Saccharomyces cerevisiae S288C: one gene and its partners. The protein of the gene in region 3 purifies or fractionates together with the protein of the main gene of each other region. This does not show direct contact. Each region holds a gene or a part of one and is shown on either strand. Other genes may lie near its edges. The genes, in order: CAF20, RAT1, NPL3 and MSL5.

The links.
Region 1: the proteins of NPL3 (region 3) and CAF20 purify together in Saccharomyces cerevisiae (affinity purification with mass spectrometry; 3 studies listed by BioGRID, with this or other methods). This does not show direct contact.
Region 2: the proteins of NPL3 (region 3) and RAT1 purify together in Saccharomyces cerevisiae (affinity purification with mass spectrometry; 4 studies listed by BioGRID, with this or other methods). This does not show direct contact.
Region 4: the proteins of NPL3 (region 3) and MSL5 purify together in Saccharomyces cerevisiae (affinity purification with mass spectrometry; 2 studies listed by BioGRID). This does not show direct contact.

Annotation. Positions count from the first base shown.
Region 1 is NC_001147.6:839,550-842,318, reverse strand, and holds CAF20 (Caf20p), read right to left. Parts: upstream 987-2,769; coding exon 501-986; downstream 1-500. Other genes in the region: RIM20 (Rim20p), read left to right, coding at 1,250-2,769. UniProt on the Saccharomyces cerevisiae protein: Acts as an inhibitor of cap-dependent translation. Competes with eIF4G1/TIF4631 and EAP1 for binding to eIF4E/TIF45 and interferes with the formation of the eIF4F complex, inhibiting translation and stabilizing mRNA.
Region 2 is NC_001147.6:417,945-424,609, forward strand, and holds RAT1 (ssRNA exonuclease RAT1), read right to left. Parts: upstream 3,707-6,665; coding exon 686-3,706; downstream 1-685. Other genes in the region: phospholipid-translocating ATPase RSB1, read right to left, coding at 4,724-5,788. UniProt on the Saccharomyces cerevisiae protein: Possesses 5'->3' exoribonuclease activity. Required for the processing of nuclear mRNA, rRNA and small nucleolar RNA (snoRNA) precursors.
Region 3 is NC_001136.10:1,326,472-1,330,982, reverse strand, and holds NPL3 (mRNA-binding protein NPL3), read right to left. Parts: upstream 2,201-4,511; coding exon 956-2,200; downstream 1-955. Other genes in the region: CYM1 (pitrilysin family metalloprotease), read left to right, coding at 2,513-4,511. UniProt on the Saccharomyces cerevisiae protein: Involved in mRNA processing and export. Required for efficient splicing of a large set of pre-mRNAs by efficient co-transcriptional recruitment of the splicing machinery. Remains associated with the mRNP during early steps of translation elongation.
Region 4 is NC_001144.5:378,687-383,467, reverse strand, and holds MSL5 (mRNA splicing protein MSL5), read right to left. Parts: upstream 2,647-4,781; coding exon 1,216-2,646; downstream 1-1,215. Other genes in the region: CLF1 (Clf1p), read left to right, coding at 1-997; cleavage polyadenylation factor subunit CFT2, read right to left, coding at 2,904-4,781.

The DNA of each region.
Region 1 (2,769 bases), on a different chromosome or scaffold from region 3:
AGGAGCGCGCTGTGAAAATTTTTCGCTTTATCTCTTAGGGCTCCTACTGTCGGTAGAGAAAAGTTGAGTATATTTAAAGCATGAGGTAACTTTTCTGCCCATTTTTACTTCTATTTCCATTTGAATTCAGAAAAGTGAAGCAAAATTACACCATGAGTTCCTATTAACGTCAGCCTCTTTTGTACTCATAATGTGGCTTCGGATGTTTGATGGGCGTTGCTTCAGTGCGTACGGCTCATGGTAGATTAATTATTAGAAAGATGTATCTCCAGCTGTTGATATTAGAGGGGGAAGCCTTTCTCTTTCACCTCGCCTTTTTAAACACCTGATACAGTTGGTCATGATTCGTTCTACATTTTAATTTCTTTATGTAACCACGTTGTATATTTTCAATCTGGAAAGTAACCTAAAAGAGTAAAAACTGTTTATTAAAAAAAATGTTATTCAAAATTTATACATAGTACACGTACAGCTGCCTGAAGAAAGCATGAGCGAATGACTTATGCTTCGTCGTCTTCGTCTTCACTTTCCAAAGCAGCAAATGCGTTGAAACCAAGAATTGGCTTGTCCGCAACAATATCTCTGGTATCAGCAGGTCTGTTGGAAGAAATATTTTTGTTATTTGGCTTGACTTTTAAAGTTTCTTGGGCAATGGTAGCAACTGGCACAGTAGAAGTTGGTGTGGTTTCTGTTTCTTCTTCATCATCTTCTCCACTACCCTTCTTCTTGGCTTCAAATGTGCACCAACCATCTGAATCGGTTGTAACCTTAGGCTTGTTGTGCTTAATCTTTGGTCTACCATGATGGTGGGAAGATCTTCTACGACCGAAATGACCAACATGATGACTGTTAAACTCTTCCTCTTTCAAGTGTTGCAATTGCTTAACTTTTTCAATGATGGCTCTAAATTCCACCGCATCGAAATTAACTTCCAAAGTTAAACTTGGCTTCAGTTGAAAAAGCTCATCGATAGTATACTTGATCATGTCGTGAAATTAAATAAAAGTTCTTAATCCTATATTCAGGTTACAGCTCAAATAATGTCTATCGCAATCGGTAGAATATGCTTTACGCCAAATACTTTTTCCAATTTTTCACTATTTTTCGTCCAGGAAAAGAGATATTCAAGCCTCGCTACTACCCGGCTTTATAATATAGCATAAGAAAAGGGACTATAAAGCCTTATTAAAACACTACTATACCCTTGCAGAGAGAGTATTATTATCTATGGAGATCCAGGCAGTGTGACATGAGTGAACTGCTTGCCATTCCACTTAAGCGAACTTTAGAAGTGGACTTTGCCACGGAGTTGTCAAAACTAATTGATACTACTTCCTTTCAAACGGCATCCTTTTTCCAATCAGACATACTCAAAGTTGTTGATGCAAGAAACAATGCGATTGCACCCGATATCTCAATCGACGGTCTTTCTGCACTGAAGGAATACTATGTAATATTGTTGCAATTAGAGAAAAAGTTTCCCAATAATCAAATAGAATTTACATGGTTTCAAACGCTATCACAAAAATCTCGTGGTACTAGTCAATACTCATTACAATGGGAAAAATTAACCATTATTTATAATATTGGTTGCATGTATTCACTGTTGGCTCTAAATAGCAACAATGATGCAGCCGAATCCCTCAAAACGTCATGTCTGTACTTCCAGAATGCCGCCGGATGCTTTAAACATGTTTTAGACCACCAAAAAAATCTTGAGACAATCCCAGTGGTAGATGACGCCACATTGAACGCTTTAACCTCCCTGATGCTAGCACAAGCGCAAGAATGCTTCTGGTTTAAAGCCGTGCAAGATAAACACAAGGACTCCTTAATCGCGAAGTTGTCACAACAGATCGTGGACTTCTACTGCGAGGCTATTAATGACGCCCAAAGGGGGAAACTTATTAGAAGTGATTGGATAAACCACTTAAAGGCTAAAAAGGCTTACTTTAGTGCGGTGACTTATTACAGAATAGCCTTATCTTTTAATGAGAAGAAGCAGTTCGGAAATGTTGTGAAAGCTCTGCAAATGGGATTGCAATTTATAAATGAATCAACACTATCTTCGCAAGCTAAGTTTAAAACTGTTGTCGAATCTTCTCTGAAAGAAGCCCAAAGAGACAATGAATTCATCTACTTACAAGAAGTTCCTTCGGAATTACCATCGATCAAACCAGCTCTCATGGTTAAACCATCTTCTTCAGCAACATTGTTGCCTTCTATTAAAAAGGATGAGACTTTATTCAAAGACCTAATCCCTATAGAAGTGATGGAATATTGCACAGCATACAATGAAAGGCAAGATGAATACGTTGAACAACGTGTTACCAATCCCCTTGCTTCCCTAAATAAACTATTGAAGGAGTCCTTGACTACTTTCCAAATACCACAAGGGCTTACAAAGGTGAGTGAAGCAGAACTGAGTCATTACCAGGCATCACTGAATAATCTTCTCATTAATAATAAAAATGTGCAGGTACAACTCGATAACATTGAGCAAATTTTAAATGAAGAAGCATTTACTGACAATCAGCTCCGACTAAAACACGGAACCTTAAATTGGACTTTACCCGAATCTTCAACTACTAACACAGCATATTATGAAAAACTAAAAAAGCTGAGAGGATACCTTGATGAAGGTAGTGCGATTGACAAACAAACAAATGAACTATTTCAAAGCATCGATAAAAATTTGATTGGATCAGAGATCAGGTTACCGGAATCTAATGATCCTCTAACGAATAAGATTAAGATGATCATACAGGA
Region 2 (6,665 bases), on a different chromosome or scaffold from region 3:
TTTCCGTGTTTTCAAAAGGAAGGGAAAAAATTGGACAAAAACCCGCGTACGAAAATTTTCCTGCTTAGCTCAGTCGGATTTATTGAAAACTTTATTTCATTTTTCCACAACATCCCACATTACCCGATTGTTTGTTGCAAGATTTTTTGAAGAGGACGCTTGCATATTGGCCAAGGAGGAAGTGTAAGATGTGCTTTCGTGACTTGAGCGAAGGGGTTGGCGTTGTATAGCATGAACTTCCCAATATGTTGCATTCATCCCTGGATGATAACAGACCAAAGACCAAATTTGATTTTAAGTTTAGGAACTTAGAAAAAAAAGGTAGTGCCGTATTCGAAACTTTCGCCGTGGACTGCCTCTCTTTTCAAAAAAGAAGAACAGACCATGCTTTTTCTCCTGGATCTGGAAGAAAAAATACACGAAGCGTATAAATCAAAATAGAGTTCGGTCTATTGGCTTACAAGGATTTCGCTATTTTACAAGAGGACGTATATTCATATATTCATGCTTCAGCATGATTTTCTCTTAACTTAATATGTTCCATTTTTTGTTATAAAATATTACTGTTCGTCGTTTGTAAGAGCAGACACTATTATCTTAAAAGAGCTTTTTTTTAATTGTATGAAGATTTTATAAATTTGCGAAAACCTAAATTTACCATAAAATAAAATGCGCACGAGTAGTTCTAACGCCTATTTGCTCTTGAATTGTCATACCGACTTTGCTTGTTATTCCGAGAGTAGCTGTTGCCGCTGTACTGTCCACTATTTCTATTTCCGGAATAGTTATTGTTCCTGTAATTTGAATTTTGTCTGTAATTATTGTTTCCACCATCATACCTGCTATTGTTGAAGCCGGGTTGACTGTTGTAGCTATTCCTACCATAGTTGTGGGCGGGTTGGACATTATTTCTACTGAGCTCAGCAAAATAAAAGAATGCTCGATAGCCACCAGTTCTTGGTTTGTACTGAGTAATACCCTTTGGTCCTACTGGAACAATATTTTGCTTCAAATCATTACCAAAGTTCCAGCGACGGGAGTAATTTTGGTTATTATACTTGTACATTATGGAATCAAGGTCATATGCTGTTAGTACCGGTTCTGACGGAATGAACCCGTTCAGTATAATAGACTTATTTCTCGATGGCAACGGAATTAATCTATAGGACATCTTTAAAATCAAGGTGGTAGATAAATTTGGCAGTGACCCACCTTGAATCGGACATACAATTTTCCCATTTAATTCGAAACCTTCAACGTCCTTTGATACAATACCACTTAAACCACTCTTGAAGTGTTGAAACTTCACAACAACATTGTTGTTGTTGTTTTCCTTTGAGTATAATTTCTTCGAAAACCTCTCATAATTAGCATTCTTGTTACTTATTAATAAAACAGGTTCTCCGCGAATATTTCTTGCCCTCTCAGCATCAGAAAGTAAAGGATATTGTGCACGAACAGCTGTTAACAGTCTATCCTGATCGATGAATGGTAGCAACGCTATGCCTTGCCAGGACATCTTCTTACCATTCATATCTATGGGAAATTCTTCAGGATAAAAATCAATGATTTCAGAGTCAGGTTCAGACATCAAAGACCGGAAAATTTTTGGCAAAGCATGGCCAGATGCAGCTGGTAAAACACTCATCAATTGTTCGTAAGGTAAAAATGGAGTACCTTCTTCGAACTTTATCTCCAAGTGAGAAAACCCATGGAAATCTGTTGCCAGAGGAGCATAATGGTACGGATAGAACCAATTCCAAGAGGCACAACCTTGATAGTAATACATTAGTACCCAGGCGACCCCTTCGATATAGCATTTTACCATATCTTTTCTTAACTGTTCAATATCTTGAGGAGTAACGTGAAATTTAGCTGTGTAATATCTTTCGTGGTAACCAGGTTCGAATAGTTTGACAAATTCATCTGTATCAAAGACCCCATTTTTGGGACCTTCGCTGACATTCACTGTGCTGTGGACTGGTGAATCTCTTGATACTTCTGTAGTTTCAGAGTTTTCCCTGTCGTTTACGTCAGCCACAATCTCATCTTTGATCTCTGCATCGAGATCGCACTCTGATTCCGCTTTCTCTGTCTTAACTTTTTTGCTATCCTTAGCAATTTCTTCCTCTTCATTATCCTTTTCAAGACGGTGTTTCTTATTTATTATTTTCTGTTTCATAACTTCTGCAAGGTTAAAATTAGTTTTGTTAGCCTTACTAACAGCATCATCAATTTCTTCCTTGCTGATATCTTTCATCAGTTCATTGTTCTTATCACTCTGTTGCTTAACTTTGGCGATTGCTTCTTCGTTCCCCTCGTTCGCAAGCATCAGTTCCTTTTTCAACCTTACCATATCACTGGTGGTCAAGTTCCATGAACCTTTTGCTAAATTTCCTTGTGTGTCATACATTTGCAGTTGCTCCGTAGCTACTGTAGGATGCCTGTCTTGACCTTTTGACATATTTTTCTGCGCTTTCCTTCTTTCAAAAGCTTCTTTCTTTCTGGCTTCTTGAATATGTCTAGTTTTGAAGATATCCCCCTCACGGGAGCCAAGGTGTTGCAATAGCGTTTCAACAGAAGGGAGGTTCAAGACACCGTCGCAGGTCATGTACGTTTTCAATTTCGGTAGTACTACCTTCCAAATATCCAAGAGAATATCAATACTATTTTCTCTGACATCTAAGCATGGTAAATGTGGTAAAAAGTCATTACCACAGAAAAAGCACATGAAAACCCAATCGTCGATAGCCCTTTCTAAATCAAATGTAAATGGAAGACCCGGAACCCATAACTCAGCGGACAAGTATTCCCTCAAAACATTTATGTGCAGCCACAAGAAAGGTTGTTCGGAATTTTGTTTTTGGAGAAATTGTTTTTCTTCTTCAGTCATATTTATAGTATCTTTTAAGTTATTTCTTTTCCGATTGTCTTGAGCAAAAACATCTTCTCTTAGAATTTTAAAATGTGGTTCATGAGTGGCAAGGCCCAAAAAAATTAAATCAGCATCCAAACCGTATATACAGTGCGTTGTGTTGGGATTATATTCAGGATCAGCTCTTTGAGACCTAATGAAATTCATTATTTTGTGCTCACCTTCACCTGGGACGGTGGCGTCACTGATAATCACCTGCAGGTTTTTCCAACCAGGGTCAGTGGCCAGTTTAAATGCTGTCCAATAACGGAGGGCCGCGGCAAGCTTATCCATAAATGGGGTGCCTGGAGTGATCGCATTTGAATCCCAAGTTTTCTTGTTCCTGACGGCATCATCGATTATCTCACCAACTTCTTCTCGCTGTCTCATAATTTCTTCCCTGGCTTCGTTTTCAATCTGAGCATCCCTAGCACTCCTAAATCTACGCGCTCTCTGCTGGTTCATTTTGGCACGAGGAGCAACACCATCAACAGCCATAACAAGTACCTTGCGTGGTCTAGCCATATTTAACACACGATTGGTATATTCAAAAACTGCCAAAAGCATTTCATCTTCAGTCTCTGGAGGCGGTTTGTTTTCTGGGTGCGAACATGGATGAACAATACCATTCATATCCAAATACAAGTTGTCTAACTCACCGTTTGGATTTGAGGCGGAATAATCCAACGGCAATATGACACCGTCGACTATCTGAGGTTGCTCTTCCAATACTGGGGATATGATCTTTGGATATTTTCGAGATAGCCATCTGAAAAATGACGGAACACCCATTATATTACGAAACTTGGCTGTAGCACTTCCTTGAAGAACCTGTCTCACTAATTATTACGGGATGTCTTTATGTTGTAATAGGTTCATCGATGAGGTTTGGTTTTTTATTGCCATAGCTGAAAATCTTATCTAGATACTCTCGTTACCCGACTTATCATTCCCGAGACGCTCAAATATACAACCTGATGAGAAAGTAAGGTAATATACCTCCAAATGTTCAAGATTATAAAATACATTGCAGTGCCTTAAAAACGTACTTCCGATATTATGTGATAGTAAACTTTTCGTAGTTTTTCATCAGAGATGGGGAAAGCTTTTTTGGTGAATTGATTTTACAACTACTTGTTTCAGTATACTATAAAAATCGAGTAAAATTCGTGAATCTTTGAATAGAAAAGATTTCGTGAACATATCTATAAATTAATCACTTTCTTAACCGATATAAGATTTTAGCCCGGTGATATAGGCTTCAATCAGCAGTTACGCTTTTTTGCTTTAATTTTACTGTTTATGGAGGTAAACTAACGCTCCTGCTCTCTTTCATATATCAACAGATAGGTCTGTTGATTGATTCAAATAAATTTATTTTCCTTATGTGCGCCATAATTATATGACCCTATAAGCTGCCGATAGCGGATTTTCTGTTCTCTATGGGAAACTCTGTAGTTTTCTTTTTTTTAGTTTAGTTCGTTCCCAAAAATGGAAGAACGTCAAAACAGTGATCTACATTAAGCTGAGGCGAAAACACTAAACGAGGAAAGTTATACGATGGCACAGGAACAAAATAGAAAGTATGTATGACGTTGAAGGCTGATTAAAGCATTGAAAGGGGAAAAATACTTGTGAACTAAAAAATGTACATATTACGATGTCGAAATATAAGGAAGTAAAAATGCTGTCCGGTTCTTTTGAATAGGAGAAAAAATAAACAGAACATAGTCGGGAACTTCGAGAAAAAAAGTAAGAATTGAAAAATGCATATGAACGATCAGATTGACATTCAAATTCTACGTATCACTAAAGTTTAGCCTTCTTTTTAGAGGAAAACAAGTTAGCTATTTTGGACATGAATTGTTTGAAGGTGCTAATCGGGTATTTCATGCTTGCTTGGAATTCCTCCTTTTCAATATCAAATTGTTTTGAATCCGAAGTATCTAAGATATCTTCAACATCGTCAGTATGTGGTAAAGTTTCAGGATCAACATGGCCCGGTGTGATTGGAATCGAGGTGCTTCTACCTTTAAACGCAAATCCAGGGTGGAAGATGGTCAAAGTGACCGTAGCGATGGCCATCATTAATGCATCTAAGATAATAAAATACCACTCGTGTGTGATCAGATAGCCATCCCAACCGACAACTAATTCAGCCAAACGGTAACAACAACGGGTAAAAATGGTTAGTACCGCAACGGTTATTGCCAGATTAAAATAATGAAAAACCCAACGTTTAGGTTCGAGTCTCAAAAAATGGAACTTTTCCCTGTATAAATAATCAACTTCTGTTTGCGATATCTTTAAGAGGCTCAATGAGATAGGTCTAGAATTTATGTGTTCCCATCTTACCGATATATATATACGGAAAAGGAAGTGAAACCATAACATAAGAAAGATGGCCATCGATGCAACTTGAATGGCCAAACCAGCAATGAAAACATGATTGCCGGTTGTTGTGGACGTTCCATCTGTGACCGCCACACCACACAGGCCACCGCCTACAGCTTGCACCACAAGCGATACGATATCGGAACATATGAAAATAAAAGAATACGCCATTGGAGAGGGCAATAAAGAGAACCTGTGGCCGTATACTTCTATAAGCTTTGCAAGTTGATAATAAATACCACCCATTGTGAAAACTGGTGCAATAGTCAAACAAATCATGTTCAAAAGAAAAGCGTCCATATCGGCGACATTAGAATGCGACCACGTCCTCCCTATAAATCCAAGAACTTCCAAAATACCTGTGCATATAAAAGCGATTGAAAACCAGTATTGGCGCATCAGTAACTGTACGACATGTATTGTCAGTAGTATACCCCAAATGACAATCATCGTGATATTAAAACGAAGGTTCGGTACCATACCACCATAAAGGGAATTACTGTTAGCTGCTGCTTCTAACTGTGGCAAAAGACTGCCTAACGTATTATTTGTTGCGTTGGACATTTTGAATTTCTCAACGTCTATAATCAGAAAAAAAGTACTGTGAGAAATCTATTTTAGAACAACCAGCAGTAATTAGTTACGCCCTTAGTATACTATTGCTTGAACTGCTAGGAAACCAGAGTTTACGTAGAAAAGTAATGAATTTTAAGTCTACTACTGAAAGAAAAAAAAAAAATACTTTACTGTGCAAGCGACAAGGAAAACTCTTCTTATTTCTATTGATTCTGGGGTCGACTGCAAATAATAAACCTTATATAGTGTTTTGCCCATCAGCTCAACTGTTTTAGGTGAAAATGGGAGGCACACCAAAGAAAAATAAACAGGGCAAATTAGAGCTCCGTGGGTACAACCGATCAGAATCACACCTATTCCCTTTTAGAGAGCGAGATAGCGAGAAAAAGTCAAGAGCTTTTCGACATTTGCGGAAAAATTACGGGGGATGCTTACGTACAGCTAGGGGGCGACAGAACCCTCAAGGCATGGCCGTGCAGCACTCGCACAGGACTTGGTGCAAGAAGTTCGGTTACTAATGAGAATGTCAACTATCGGAGCTGCCACAACTACTAGGCAACGTCGTTTTCCAGTGGTCCCTGACATATCAATTGCCGCACTGTCACTGTGCGCAAATATAATAGGAAACAGAGGACCGACGGAGACCATATCTTTCCGCGGAAAAAGAGTCCGAGCGAAGTCCGGAAGGAAATATGACGGAGCAAGAATGCTTCCGCGGATGTAAAAGATTGTGCTATGCTCTGGATTGCCCTCTCGGAGAGTTTTGTTGGTTTGTTTCACT
Region 3 (4,511 bases):
TCAAATTCTTTGAAATTAGCCTGACCCAAACTAACAACTATATTTGTAGCTTTTTGCATACTCAAAGGACTAAGATGATAGGATATTGTATATATTCAATTGCACCTCTTAACTGGTACTTTATTTCTTGTGAATGTTCGATATCTTACCGCTTATTCTCTCATTCCATATGAGAACTCTCGTATAGAAAGGGAGACCTTTTTTCACTTGAAAAATGACAATAAGATATCCAAAATAGATCGGCTTGGGACAAAAAAATGGTTAAATTACAAGATTTCTGTAGTTTCTCAACTTTCTAGTATTAATTGGGGGAGGGGAAACTGGTCTACTGCTAGATCAAGTTTCCACTGAGTTATCTCACAAGATAACAAAAAACGGGGTTCATTATCAGTATAGTCAATTATATTATCCTGCCCGTATGTTGAAGAGGAGATTCTCGTTAGAAACTTTAAGTAAAACTTATTTTTGTTAATTTTGCAGCACATTCCATTCAATAAAAGATAGTTTGGTGCAGGGAAATAAAAAAAATTGAAAGACACATAAGAATCTAGAGGTAGTAGTAGTAGTATTACACGAAAGAAGGTCTAATTAAAATCCAATACAGAAGTTTTAACGACTCATCAATTTGGAAATGAAATTCCGTTGTAAAAAGGATGTTAAATGTTATCATGGGATTATTCTATCTACTGGAGTGAAGTCGGGACTCGCAATAAACAATTCTGTTTTCAATCATATACTTTGGGATCTTCTAACACTAAACTTATTAATAAACAAAAACTATACTTAATAAAAGGGAGGGGAGGGAATGGGGAGGAAGTTCTTCAAAAAAAAAACTTTTTCAACATTTAATACGATGTTTTCCTTTTTCATTTGTTCTCAGTCTCATATTTAAGTTTTAAAACAATTCATATCTTTTGTTAATTTCTCCTTTTTTTTTCTCAACTATATAAATGGCTTACCTGGTTGGTGATCTTTCACGTGGAGCATCTCTGGTTCTGTATGCATCTCTTGGAGGACCATAATCGCCTCTTGGACCATCATAACCACCTCTTGAACCACCGTAGCTACCTCTTGGAGGACCGTAATCATTTCTTGGACCACCATAGCCACCTCTGGAATAACCACCTCTTGGACTATCGTAACCACCTCTAGGACTATCGTAACCACCTCTGGAGCCACCATATCCGCCTCTGGAGTAGCCACCGTAGCCACCTCTGGAATAGCCACCGTAACCACCTCTTGGACCACCAAATCCACCTCTGGGGCCACCGAAGCCGCCTCTGGAGAAACCGCCTCTGAAGCCACCTCTGAAGCCGCCTCTGAAGCCGCCGCGACCTCTGAAGCCACCTCTATTTGATCTTCTGATTGGTGGAGGATTGTCATCTCTTTCAACAGTAATGACAGAACCTCTGAATTCAATATTGTTTAATCTCTCCAAAGCTTCGACCAAGATTTCTTCACTAGGGAATTCTAGAGCACCGGTACCATCAAAATCTCTGGTATTGACGCTAGAAAAAGTAGTTTCTAAACTATTTTCCCTGGCTAAATCTTTAAGATCTTGCCATGAACAACCTTCTGGTAAGTTTTTCATGGTGATACGGTATCTCTTGGCAGGCAATTTAGAGTAAACAACTTCCAAAGGTTGGTTAGCAAAACTCTTACCGTGAACTTCTTCAATGGCTTTGGCAGCGGATTCTGCTTCTTCAAATTCAACAAACGCGAAGCCGTTCAAGATCTTGACTTCCTTCATTGGTCCAAATGGACCAAAGATTTCATTCAACTCGGATTCTTGAACGTCCAATGGGAAAGGTCTAACAAACAATCTGGTGTTCGAGAGTTCTCCTTCTTGACGGTGGTGCATTGGTGGGCGACCGTGCATGTGTTCACCTGGAGGAGGAGGAGGATAATATGGTTGGGGTTCAGGTGGTTGGTGGTGCTGGTGGGCCTCTTGGTAGTCTTGGACACTGTGGGATTCTTCGCCTTCATAAATTGGAGCATTAGATGGTGGAGGAACGTCATTTTGTTCTTGTGGAGCTGGTGGTTCTTGTGGAGCAGATTCCTGTGGAGCAGATTCCTGTGGAACTTGTGGTTCTTGTGGAGCATCTGGAGCCTGTGGTGGTTCTTGGTGCTGTTCTTCGACTGGGGCATCGACAACAGATTCTGGTAGTTGCTCTACGTGAGTTTCTTGAGCTTCAGACATTATCCTTATGGTTTTAGCGTAATTGCTTAATTTTGATTCCTTCAAAAGTATATATATTTAGAAGAGAGGAAATTATTTTTCTCATGTCCTTTTTAAATCCCTTTGGGTGGCGAAAAAAAAGAATGTAAAAAATTTTGCCCTTCGTTTACAGTGATAAATATACGGAGGGGCTCTATGATAAAGGTAGTAGTAAATCATTGAATTGTTGAACAAGCATTGACAGATATGATAACAAGCAATTGTAATCAATAAGCCACCAATTAGAAGGCTACTCAAAAGAATAAAGTTACTATAAAATATACTGCGGTATATATGTTGCGGTTTCAGCGATTTGCGTCCTCGTATGCCCAAGCACAGGCCGTTAGAAAATATCCAGTTGGAGGTATATTCCATGGTTATGAAGTGAGAAGAATTCTACCGGTTCCGGAGCTGAGACTCACTGCGGTAGATTTGGTGCACTCCCAGACAGGAGCCGAGCATTTGCATATTGATAGAGACGACAAGAATAATGTGTTCAGCATTGCTTTTAAAACCAACCCTCCAGATTCCACTGGGGTCCCTCATATTCTAGAGCATACAACGTTGTGTGGGTCTGTTAAATATCCAGTTAGGGACCCTTTTTTCAAAATGCTAAATAAATCTCTAGCTAATTTCATGAACGCTATGACAGGTCCAGATTATACATTTTTTCCCTTTTCCACTACGAACCCTCAAGATTTCGCTAATTTAAGAGGTGTTTATTTAGACTCCACCTTGAATCCGCTACTTAAACAAGAAGATTTTGATCAGGAGGGTTGGAGGTTGGAGCATAAAAACATCACAGACCCGGAGAGTAACATTGTTTTCAAAGGTGTTGTCTATAACGAAATGAAAGGTCAAATATCAAATGCCAATTACTATTTCTGGAGTAAATTTCAACAGTCTATTTATCCTTCCCTGAATAACTCCGGCGGAGATCCTATGAAAATTACAGACTTGAGATACGGCGATCTCTTGGATTTCCATCACAAAAATTACCATCCCTCCAATGCAAAAACTTTCACGTACGGTAACTTGCCATTGGTGGATACGTTAAAGCAATTAAATGAGCAGTTCAGTGGTTACGGGAAGAGAGCTCGAAAGGATAAGTTGTTAATGCCTATTGATTTAAAAAAAGACATAGATGTCAAGTTACTGGGTCAAATAGATACTATGCTTCCACCGGAGAAGCAGACAAAAGCCTCAATGACGTGGATTTGTGGAGCGCCACAGGACACATATGATACCTTTTTGTTAAAAGTACTGGGGAATTTATTAATGGATGGCCATTCTTCTGTAATGTATCAAAAATTAATAGAATCAGGAATTGGTTTGGAGTTCTCCGTAAATTCAGGTGTTGAACCAACTACAGCAGTAAATTTGCTAACTGTTGGTATACAGGGCGTGAGTGATATTGAAATATTTAAAGACACTGTAAATAATATTTTTCAAAACCTGTTGGAAACAGAACATCCTTTTGACCGCAAGCGTATCGATGCCATAATTGAACAATTGGAATTATCTAAGAAGGATCAAAAGGCTGACTTTGGACTTCAATTACTCTATTCTATACTACCTGGTTGGACAAACAAAATCGATCCTTTTGAGAGCTTGTTGTTTGAGGACGTTTTGCAAAGATTTAGAGGTGACTTAGAAACGAAAGGTGATACTTTATTCCAAGATTTAATCCGTAAATATATCGTTCATAAACCTTGTTTCACGTTTTCCATTCAGGGATCTGAAGAGTTCTCTAAATCTTTGGATGATGAAGAACAAACAAGACTGAGAGAAAAAATTACTGCCTTGGATGAACAAGACAAGAAAAACATCTTTAAACGTGGTATACTGTTACAGGAGAAACAAAATGAAAAAGAAGATTTATCCTGTTTACCTACCTTACAAATAAAAGACATCCCAAGAGCTGGTGATAAATATTCAATCGAACAGAAGAATAATACAATGTCTAGGATTACTGATACCAATGGTATCACATATGTCAGAGGTAAACGTTTACTAAATGACATAATACCCTTTGAACTCTTCCCATACTTACCTTTATTTGCTGAATCGTTAACTAACCTAGGGACAACAACAGAATCCTTCAGTGAAATAGAAGATCAGATAAAATTACATACGGGTGGTATATCAACACATGTAGAGGTTACATCTGACCCTAACACCACAGAGCCTCGCCTGATTTTCGGGTTTGACGGATGGTCTTTAAATTCGAAGACCGACCACATTTTTGAATTCTGGTCTAAGATCTTACTAGAAACTGATTTCCATAAAAACA
Region 4 (4,781 bases), on a different chromosome or scaffold from region 3:
AAATGTTCAGTGGAAAAGGTATATTTATCTGTGGATGAGATATATATGCTATGTTGAGTTAGAATTGGAAAATTCGCTTTTAGAAGAAGAACTTTTTCAGAGGTTAATTGACGACATCATCCCTCATAAACATTTCACTTTTTCCAAAATATGGCTAATGTATGCTAAATTTCTGATACGACATGATGATGTACCGAAGGCGAGAAAAATTTTGGGTAAAGCAATCGGTTTATGTCCTAAGGCTAAAACTTTCAAAGGATATATCGAGTTGGAAGTGAAGTTGAAGGAATTTGATCGTGTGAGAAAAATATATGAGAAATTTATTGAATTTCAGCCCTCTGATCTACAAATTTGGTCACAATATGGAGAACTAGAAGAAAATTTAGGAGATTGGGATAGAGTAAGAGGTATATATACAATTGCACTAGATGAAAATTCTGATTTCTTAACAAAGGAGGCTAAAATTGTATTACTTCAAAAATACATAACATTTGAGACAGAATCACAAGAATTTGAAAAGGCAAGGAAGCTTTATAGAAGATATTTGGAGCTCAACCAATATTCCCCCCAAAGCTGGATCGAATTCGCCATGTATCAAACTTCAACCCCGACGGAGCAACAACTATTAGATTTAGCAAAACTGCAAAGCGAAAATGTGGATGAAGACATAGAGTTTGAAATTACCGATGAGAATAAATTGGAGGCAAGAAAAGTTTTTGAAGAGGCGATAGTTTTTTTCAAGGAGAAGGATGATAAACAAGGGAGACTGTCTATTTTGGAAGCGCTAAAAGACTATGAAGAAACTTACGGTACTGAACTCGATCAAGAAACCGTCAAGAAAAGATTCCCTAAAGTAATCAAAAAAGTGAGGTTACAGAACGGTGTGGAAGAAGAATTCGTGGATTACATTTTTCCTGATGATATCGATGATGACAAGCCAAAACCATCAAAGTTCTTGGAACTAGCCAAAAAATGGAAACAGGAACAGGCACTTTGAATAAAGGTAAGGGTATCGTGAAATAATATTTTTGTCATTGTAGTTCAGGCCGTAGAAACTAAACAGTAGTAGAATAAGCTAGTAAGTAAATTAAATATCAAAAGTTAATAATAACCAGGAAGGCAAAAAACCAACAAAAAAAGGAACTATGCAAAATAGAGACTACATACCTTCAACACAAATAAAAAAAAATGCAGATATTGTATAATGGGAGTGTATTATAATCCGGGAGGCCCTTGCAGTCCCGGAGGTGTAGGTTTGTTAATGTCATTGCCCATGTTATTAGAAAACCCTGGAGGACCGCTTAGGCCAGGAGGAGGTGCAATTGAGGATTGTACCGTAGTCATACCGGGAGGTGGAGGTAGCGAAAATTTCGGTTGTTCCGACTCTGGAGGGCTTTGTAATGGGGGAGGGGCGATTCCTGGAACTCCGGAACTAAAGCTACTTGATGTTAGGCCGGGAGGGGGTGTAGGCGTCACGTTTTGAGCTTGCCTCGAAATATGTGACGCAGGAGGTGAAGGTGATGGTGCATAACGTGAAGAAGCCGGAAATTTTAAAGGAGGTTCCGTCGAGTTATTGTCATAACGAGATCTTTTTGGTGCTTGAATTGGATGAGTATTGCTATTATAGTGTACGTCATTGCTCTGTATTGGCGCAGAATTATTTACCGTGGCGTTTCTGTCAAAACGGCTCATTCTTTGAGACGATGAGTTACAGTCTCTACTGAAATGTCCAGTTTGTCCACATATTTTGCAAACAATGCCCTGTATATTTGGGATTTTTCTGTTTGGACAATCGTACCTTTTATGATCTTTTAAACCACAGATTGGACAGGGCCTGTTATCTTCTCTTAAAGTACCATTAAGTTCCGCCAATTCTCTCAGTTGTCCTCGTTTCAAGTCATTCTGGCCTTCCGGAGATGTCACCGCTTTGATAACAATGTTTTGACAAACTTTTATACCTTTTTGGATCTTGTCTTCCGAGTCTGCGATAATTAAACAGTGCAAGGGGTCCTCAAAGTTCATGGCGCCTGGAGGTAAGTCACTTGCATTCTTACCTTCTTTGACTGAACCTCTTCCTCTAATTGCAATCTTACAATTCGAATCTTCTTGCAGCTTTCTTAACGTACGTCCACGAGGACCTAATAATAAACCAACAAAATTGACATCAGGATACTGATCCACCGGGATATAATACTTGTCCTGAAATTTGGTAGGTCTCTTGTAATCATCCGGAGGAACGAAGTAAGGGATGGTCTTTAGGGCTATCTCAACAAGTTTAATACGTTCATCCTCTAGTTTCTTTCTATACCTCTGCTCACGGGTATTCGTTCTTTTACCTTGGGCATCATAAACTGGTGGCGGAGAAGGTGACCTATTTTTCCTGGAGGGGGGCACAAAATCGTTCGTACGCAGTTTGATGGTAATTTCTTGAATCCTAAACATGACTTGATAGGAGTATATTTGTTCCCTAGTTAGGGCCCCACTAATTTTTGATGGAAGAGAATTGAATCGATGGACATCGCTTTCTACCGTGTTCTTTCTCCATAACGAAAGGTTGACGTTTGGAGGAACCTTTGCTTTTTTTTCTTCCATACTGCTTCCTTTTCTATTTTCAAAGTATCTAGAGTTAATCCTTCTAAAACTCATCAACAATTTCCTTTTATTGTGGGATAGAATAGCACTTGTAGCAAATTAGGGAAAAAATTCTGCTTTGAAAATTTCCGCTTGGTGAAATTCAGCAGAAAAAGAAAGAAATCAATAATGCTAATATCGTTAAAAGTGAGTTAGAATGTTATATACAGATAATAGCGGTGCGAGATACACAGCAATTTATGTCACATACTGTTTTGTGGGCAGTCCACGAACGTAAATTGAACCTTTTATTTGTGCTGTATACAAGAAGGCTAGATTTTTGCTAACATATCCGTAACCAATTTTTTGACAGTATCAAAAAGTTCGGAAGGCGTACCATCGATAATAGTTTCTGCATCATTGATTTTGCGGACTGCTACTTTTTCATTTATGACAAGTGTACCTTCCCCTTTAAATTCTGCAATGTAGTTTTTCTCTGTGAGAAGTTTCTTTAATTGTGCTAACCTAACGTCACCGATTGACAACGCACCTGTTTTATGGCTCCTAGATGAACCGTGTAATGGTTTCAAGACTAGTTTACTCCTTGACGCTGTTTTTTGATGATTGTTCACTTGCGGTAGGCTCTCCTTAACCAGCCTGCCAACGACAGTGGCAACTGTATAACTATCACTGATACGTTGCCATTTCAAAAGGTTATCGAGGTTGGAGTCAATGGAGATATCCAGGGTCTTTATTGTTGTACTGAATTCCACTATCTTATTTAATGGCATGTTGACCACTTCAATATTTTTCTTGATAAGTTTTGCCGTAATTTCTTCATTTTGAATCTGTTTGGGGGCGGAAAGAACTATTTTTCTAGATTTTAGCGATGGCCATATAATAGATGCAGACCTTTGATCAACTAAACTCTGTAAATTTAGGATTACTACGGAGCATTTCAATTGGACATTTACAGTTGAGATTGTTCTTTTGGAGAGCGTTTTGTCTATCTTTAAATAGTCAAGGTTATCAAAATTTTCTGCTTCTCCGGTTCCAGAAAATCCCGAGTAACGAGAAGCACGGTGTTTGCTCCTTTTGCTAATTGGATCACTCATATTATAACCATCTTCTTCTTCATTTTTGTTATCTTCTTCGTTTACAGGGCTCGTGGTTTTAGCACCGTCTTTGAGAGGTCTTTTCCTGCTATTTTGATTAACATTGTCAGAATCATCAGGTAAAAACATCGTAAAATCTACAACAGTACCATAATCATCTTTCTTGATTTTAGCGGGGTTAAATGGGAACATTTTATGTTTTGAAGCGGCACTTGGTTGAATTATAATGTCTACAGGAACTTCCGTATTTTTTTTCGCTGCTGATTTCTCAGAGTTATCCTTGAGTAAATTCAACAAATTGTCGTTTTCTTCCTCTTCATCATCATCTTCGTCACCCCCCATAATATGATCAATCGGTGGTACTCCATTGACGTTTTCCACTAAAATGTCTTGATTTCTCATTGCCCTCTCTCCGTTGGTATCATCTATGATTGCGTTGCCGTTAGCCAGTTTCTTAGACTCTCTTTTCACCAGTAGAATTTTCTTATTTCTGTCCCTTTTCTTTTCTTTAAGCTGTACTTTAAACGCCTCTGTTTCCTCTTTACTCAAGGGTTCTTCTTTTATGGTGTCTATTGAAATGTAATTATCGCAGAGGAATGATTTACCATCTTCAGGAAATGTTTTCCAATTTCTTTCATCTTGTTCAACAATTTCTAGTATCTTGTCTAAAGACGACGCACATTCAAAGCTCGGCTTGGTCAAAATCAAGGTTGTCTTCTCAGAATTACCAACTTTAATTATCACTTCATTAATCAAAGCTCCTACCTCAGATACGAAGCAAATCTTTGAACCAGGATATTTACTCAATTCGTTTGGTGCGATGATTTTGATCCGTGATCCAATTTCAAATGGAGAAGTATTATTTCTGTTTTCCCATGTCTTAAGTAGTGAAGGGGACAGCCACTCGAGCATTGATTTGGCATATGTTAGAGTTCTTCCTCTCGCGTAAGACAGAATAAGTACAGGTACTTGTGTGTGCGCATTGATCTTTGTGCTTTCAAATAATAACTCATGAACTTGTGTGAACAGGTCCAGAAATTTGCCACTCATATCTACCGGTATTATAACGGACCCATCCGAACTCAAACCTTTCTT